Tribolium castaneum: one gene and its partner. The protein of the gene in region 1 binds, or shares a complex with, the protein of each later gene. Links are inferred from orthologs where the notes say so. Each region holds a gene or a part of one and is shown on either strand. Other genes may lie near its edges.

The links.
Region 2: Arpc2 (region 1) and Arp2 share a complex: the UniProt entries of both Drosophila melanogaster proteins name them as parts of the arp2/3 complex. The link is inferred for Tribolium castaneum from reciprocal best matches to the Drosophila melanogaster genes Arpc2 and Arp2.

The regions. Positions count from the first base shown.
Region 1 is NC_087399.1:3,469,563-3,473,995, reverse strand, and holds Arpc2 (probable actin-related protein 2/3 complex subunit 2), read left to right. Parts: upstream 1-1,462; 5' UTR 1,463-1,572; coding exon 1,573-1,646; intron 1,647-1,797; coding exon 1,798-1,891; intron 1,892-1,935; coding exon 1,936-2,645; intron 2,646-3,292; coding exon 3,293-3,320; 3' UTR 3,321-3,938; downstream 3,939-4,433. Other genes in the region: EKC/KEOPS complex subunit Tprkb, read left to right, coding at 4,267-4,433. UniProt on the Drosophila melanogaster protein: Functions as actin-binding component of the Arp2/3 complex which is involved in regulation of actin polymerization and together with an activating nucleation-promoting factor (NPF) mediates the formation of branched actin networks.
Region 2 is NC_087394.1:25,851,440-25,853,937, forward strand, and holds the end of Arp2 (actin-related protein 2), read left to right. Parts: intron 1-62; coding exon 63-221; intron 222-275; coding exon 276-404; intron 405-1,083; coding exon 1,084-1,497; intron 1,498-1,550; coding exon 1,551-1,874; 3' UTR 1,875-1,964; downstream 1,965-2,498. UniProt on the Drosophila melanogaster protein: Functions as ATP-binding component of the Arp2/3 complex which is involved in regulation of actin polymerization and together with an activating nucleation-promoting factor (NPF) mediates the formation of branched actin networks.

The DNA of each region.
Region 1 (4,433 bases):
TAAAAAAAAATTTTTTTTCACCTCTTTGAAGGTAAGTGTGTATTTTAATCAGAAAATTTGAGCAAAAAAATTGAAAATTTTAAATTGTGTGAAAAATTACTATAATAGAGAAAAAAAGCCTCTGTATCCAATGGAACAAACCGCACTGCTCTACGACTTTTAGTTTTCGAGTTATGAATTTTTTTAATGAAAAAAATTTTTCACTATGACAAATGGCTACCCTAAATTTAGGCAAAAAATTTTAAATTTTTAATTCTTGTGAAAAATTGATATAATATGTAAAATGAGCCGTAGAATTCAATCGAACAAACCGCAATGCTCTACGACTTTTAGTTTTTTTTTTATGAATTTTTTTAGTGAAAAACTTTGATCGCCTCTGTAGCCGGAACCGTTGCCCGGAGAGGCTCCGGGTTTGGTCGAAAAAATAGATAAAATTACGCGCTATTAGATGGTTTTTTGTTCGTTGCTCTAGGTCTTACAGTTTCCGAGAAAAACGCAAAAAAAGGTTTTCATTTTCACTTTTTTTCAATTTTCAATCGCCAATTACGACGAAACTATTAAAGATATCGAGAAACGGAAAAATGAAGGATAACCGGAATAAAAAACTCTACAAAATGGCATAGGACTTAAGGCGATATCTCGCAATAAAATTTTCAATTTTCAAACGCCGATTACGGCCAAACTAAAAGAGCTAGAAGAAAACGGTTTGTTCCATTGTAAAGAGCACATCAAAATCTATAAGATAAAATAGGTTTTATTTGATTTTGAGACACTTTAAAAATTGACCGATTTTAAGGGGGGGGTGTTAACTTTTTTTTAATTTTTTTTATTTTTTTATTTACTACTAAACTATTCCAAAAAGTGGAAGTTTTTTGATCCATACCTATGCAAAATGATCCGGGGAATCGATTGGCATCGAGAAAATTGCCAAATTCCCAATAGTTTTTTAGTTATGAATTTTTAAAAATTTTACCAATTTTTGCATTTAGCAGCAATTTGCTCGAAAACTATTAGTCGGAGAACAATAATCTTTTTTGAAAAAAATAGATAATTTAAAGAGCTTTCCAACGATGGGACACTTCATAGAGTTATCTCTAATAGTTCCGGAGCTATTGCTCGAGAAATGTTCCGGGTACCCAAAACCGACAAAAACTGCGACGAAAATTGAAAAAATCAAACATCAAAAAAAAGAACATTTGGACTTTTTGTGGACTTTTAACAACTTTTGTGGGTTGTTAAGACATGTAGAAGTCCATAAAAATTTGCTGGAGTGATTTAAAAAATTTTTTTTTTATTTTTGTGAAGATAACTACTCAAATTTTAAGCAAAAAATTTCAAAATTTTTAACCTTGCAAAAAACAGGTATAAAACGTGAAATAATGTGTCGCAGAATTCACTGGACCAAGTATTTTATTTAAGTTTGGCGCTCTGTTTAAGCGACAGACCTACTAACTTACCGACCCAGTAAATGCCAGTTGACAGACAGACAGTCAGCCACAGCACCTCCCATGAGCAGTCAGACCTAGTAAATGTATTTTTTTAGTTAAAAACCACAATTCCCAATCATTTAAAATGATTTTGCTTGAGACAAACAATCGGGTAGTTGAAGAGACATTAACCGTGAAGATAAAAAGTGCCCAAGCCGGGTAAGTCCCTTATTTACATTAAAAAACCGACCGGTAGTTTCGGGGTGAGGCTTTTATCGCCAAATTCAGGCGCAACTTTATCACCAGCATTATCTAAACTCGGCTCACAAGGAAAATCTCCCAAACCATTGAAACCAGCCTATCTTTCCAGGTTAAAAAACGAGTCAATCGACATAACAGTATCGGACTTCGACGGTGTTTTGTACCACATTTCAAACCTAAACGGAGACAAAACCAAAATTAGGGTAAGCCCACCCCCGAGTAACCCCACATAAGCGCCCCATTCCAGATAAGCATTTCCCTCAAATTCTACAAAGAACTGCAAGAGCACGGCGCCGACCAGCTCCTCAAGCGCGAGTACGGCCCCCTTCTGGCCGCCCCTGAAGACGGCTACAACGTTTCGATCCTATTCGACCTTGAGAACATCCCGACTGATTGGCCCCAAGTCATCAAAAAAATCGGGCTTTTGAAGCGCAACTGCTTCGCTTCAGTGTTTGAGAAATACTTCGATTTTCAAGAAAACGGAGACGAGGGACAGAAACGTGCGGTGATTCACTACCGCGATGACGAAACAATGTACGTTGAGGCGAAGGCGGACCGAGTCACCGTCGTCTTTTCCACGCGTTTTCGGGACGAAGACGACGTGGTCATCGGGAAGGTGTTCATGCAGGAGCTCAAGGAGGGGCTCAGGGCGTCGCACACGGCGCCCCCCGTGCTCTTCAGCCACCGGGAGCCCCCCCGGGAGCTCCAGAACACCGACGCGAAGGTCGATAACAACGTGGGGTACGTCACTTTTGTCCTGTTCCCGAGACACACGGCAAGGACCACGAGGGACAACACAATAGATTTAATTCACATGTTTCGCCATTATCTACATTATCACATCAAATGCTCCAAGGCCTACATTCACAGTCGGATGAGGGCCAAGACGTCCGATTTCCTCAAGGTCCTGAACAGGGCCAGGCCGGAGAACAAGTCGACAGATAAGAAAACTATAACGTACGTCTTTTTGCTTTTTTAACAACTTATTAGGAGACGAAACGAAGTACAAAATCACAGGGTTTTTTCTCATATTTTTGCGTACGCTGCGAATACGGTTGAAGATACAAAAAAAGTGTAAGGAACAAAGTTGTAGAGAATTAAATTTCCTACAAAAAAGTCCGCGATACCATATTTCTATCTTTAACGGTTTAGCTATAAATTAACTCTCCGATACTTGGCAACCGGTAAAATGAAACAAATCCGTCGCTTGAGCGTCTTTGGACCACTTTGGGGCCAAAATGGTTGAAGATATGGATATGGTCTCGCGGACTTTTTTTTAGCAAATTCAATTCTCTACAACTTTCTTCCTTACACTTTTTTTGTATCTTCAACCGTATTCGCACCGTTTTGAAAAATATGGGGGAGTGCAAATTGGTAAAAGTTTGACATTTTTTTAATTACAGTTTACGATAAATTTTGCTTATGTTGAGAATTTAATGCTTCATCTGTCTGTATTTTTTGTTTTACTAACATAACCAAGGAACAACTGCGCTCTCTGGCGACACTGACGGAACTATCGAGAACGGAGCGTTTTATTTGTACGTCGTTTCGTATCCTAACTTTTAGACATCCGTATCATAATTTAATTGATTGATTTGTTACAGAGGGAGAACTTTCGTTCGACGGGATTGATGTGTATAGTACTAGTGAACTTTGCTTGTAAGATCAGCTCAAAAAAGGACTAATAACTGCCGACAATTTATTAAACTTAACTGTTTCATTCAATTTTCCCATCAGTCAGTTCTTGCACAGCCTCTCTTGCAGTTTATTTATTAAGTCAATCAATTGGTTCATTCAGTACTGAATGCTACAGTTCAGTTAATAGAAGTGCTGATTTTTCAGCTACTTGTGTACATAGATTCAATCTTTTAACCATGTGCTTCCTTTGAAATATGGGTAAGCACATCAATATTGTGAATTATATATTTCTAATACAAAGTTTAATTACATATTTTTTACCCAGTTTGCGAGACGTGTTTTAGGTTTTTTACTATGTATCCGCTTGTTGTTATCATTTTGATTCGGAACGATCCTTTTTACTATTGAGAACTTGAACCGCCAAATAAATTGTATAACTTAACATAGTTTAATAGGTAATAAATGAATCGTCAATTTCTATAGCAGGTTGCAATATTTTCGGATTTCTGTAGGCAATTGGACGCATTCTTCATGCTCATTTCATTTTTATATTACATTAACAGAGCAAGACACTGTTTAATTCAATAATAGAAAATAAAATGTTATTTTAAAGTCTGTGTATCATTTTTTTACCAACTCGAAAACGTGTGGCGACACTTGATTGAACTTTATTAAGCCAGGATGGCCAACTCAAGCAGTCATTTTGGATGACTTGCTACTAACGCGAAATTCCTATTATTTTAAATTATTAAAGGAATTTCAAAAGACTGTATTGAGAGTATCAATAATTGGGTGGGAGCAGCAAACACGCACAATTTTATTTGTAATTTTATTAATCATTTTCGTGCGTTACAGATTCTACAGTAGCGAATTTCTCGCCTGAGACTGACAATAAACCTAACCCTACAATTCCACATTTTTTATTATTCACCGTTAAAAAATGGTTAAAGCGGCATTGGACCCCCTCGTGAATAAAACCCTCAACATCCGTTTATTCCACAGTGTTGAGAACGTGTCCGACTTGCGTAAAAAAATAATGTCAGGTCAACTTGAGTGTTGTCTCGTAAACCCCAAGTTGATTGTGGACCCGTTCCAGTTAGTCGTGGC
Region 2 (2,498 bases), on another chromosome or scaffold:
GAAGCCCTTTGATGTGTAAATGTGTTTTTTTTTTACAATTTTTATTATAACTTCAATTTTAGGACTTGATGGTTGGAGATGAAGCTTCCGCTTTGCGATCGCTTCTCGAGGTGAATTACCCGATGGAAAATGGGGTTGTGCGCAACTGGGAGGATATGTGCCACGTGTGGGACTACACTTTTGGCCCCCGAAAAATGAATTTGGACCCAACTGATGCTAAAGTAACATCAAAAAATCATAAAAATTGACTATAAATTTTTAAATTTGTATTTTAGATTCTCCTGACTGAACCCCCAATGAACCCCACGAAAAATCGGGAAAAAATGATCGAAGTCATGTTCGAAAAGTACGGTTTTGCGGGGGCTTATATTGCTGTCCAAGCCGTACTCACTTTATACGCTCAGGTTCGTTTACACAGTTGGTGGTCCAAAAATAATAATAATTACCAGAAAAGAATTATTGGTTATTATTATTGAACTTTTTCTAGTTCAAATCATTCTAGACAAAACAATTTCGTGAGAAGTTAAAAAAAACGGCTTATATTACCCGAAATGTGTTCTTATTGTTGTTATTATTATTACTATTGTTATTATAGACACTTAAAAACGAGATAACTTTTTAAAAAGTGGCTGTAAACGTCTTATTCTGACCAGAAACATCGACTTACAGATGATTCTTTGCTTATAAGCAAGAGAATTCTCATAGAACAAACAAAAAAAGTCTTATTCCATCTCAATTCCATCAATTTTTTGCTTAGAAACATGAAAATTTTTTTGAGAAGAGCCCAAAAACTGCTAACATCCGAAATGTTTTTCATTATTATTACTATTATCATTGTTAATAATAAATTATTAATTAATTTATTAAATTAAATTTAATAATAAATATTAGTTAAGAGCCAATTATAACTTTCGGGTAGCGAACGGTTTATCCACTAGTTTGGGAGAAAATGGTTATTTCTAATGTGGGATTTAGATGGAACAACCCTATAGAGTACTGAATTCCAAGGGACGTTATTTAAATCATTTAAAAATACTTCATAATTAAAATTATTTTTAATAAAATATGAATGTTTGATTCTAGGGACTTCTGTCGGGTGTTGTTGTCGATTCTGGTGACGGAGTGACACACATTTGCCCCGTTTATGAAGAGTTTGCTTTGCCGCATTTAACCCGACGTCTGGATATAGCAGGCCGTGATATCACCCGCTATCTTATTAAATTATTACTACTGAGAGGTTACGCATTTAATCATTCGGCTGATTTTGAAACCGTGCGAATTATGAAGGAAAAATTATGTTACATTGGTTACGATATAGAAACAGAACAGCGGTTGGCTCTGGAAACTACTGTTTTGGTTGAGCCTTATATTTTGCCAGATGGCCGTGTGATCAAAGTTGGCGGGGAACGGTTTGAGGCCCCTGAAGCATTATTTCAACCGCATTTAATCAACGTTGAGGGACAAGGCATCGCTGAGCTTGTTTTTAATACAATACAGGTTGCATGGTTTGTTTTTTCTACAGCTTGGTTTAATATTGCTTTGTTGTTTAGGCGGCTGATATTGACATGAGGCCCGAATTGTACAAACATATAGTACTCTCAGGTGGTTCCACTATGTATCCAGGGCTCCCTTCACGACTTGAACGTGAAATAAAGCAATTGTATCTAGAACGCGTACTTAAAAATGACATAGAGAAATTAAATAAGTTTAAAATACGAATTGAGGATCCGCCGAGACGTAAAGACATGGTTTTTATCGGTGGAGCAGTTTTAGCCGAAGTTATGAAGGATCGGGATGCGTTTTGGATGTCGAAGCAAGAGTATGAGGAGCAAGGCTTGAAGGTTTTGAAAAAACTGGGGCCGAGGTCGGCGTAAGCAATTTTAAATAATATACGTGTTTTTATTTTCATATTTAATTCATTCAGTGTATATTTAAAGGCAAGTTGAATAAATCATTTTTAAACAGTTGTTTTGTTTCCACTGGGAAACCAAATCTTATCGTTCCTCACCGGCAACGTAATAAGTTACGTTGATAGTAACATGAAATTTGAATAGTAATAGAACAATACGCTTTTTTTGTCGTTTATGTTAGAAATTGATGTTAGAAAATCATGCCTCCGAACAAATAAAACCTCCGAATAGAAGTTTTTGACCCAAAAAATTTACTGCTGCACTTTGCTAGTAGGCTGTGTTTATAGGGGTGACGTTTTTTATGATTGTGACCAGGCATCCCGAACTGATATAGCCAAATCGAGCCCTCACTGAATTAGGTTTTACTGATGATGCGGATAGATGGCCTTAGTGTTTTACGGGAAAAAGAAATCCTATTGGCGGATTTAAAATTTCAGATTATTGAAGAAAAACGTGGTGCCGATGCGCGGCTGACAAGTAAAAATTTCACAAACGTCACAAATTTCACAAACGTCACAAATTTCACAAATTTGAGTTTTATGAAATTATTAGTTTGTGAAATAAATAAATACGACACAGCAATAAAAT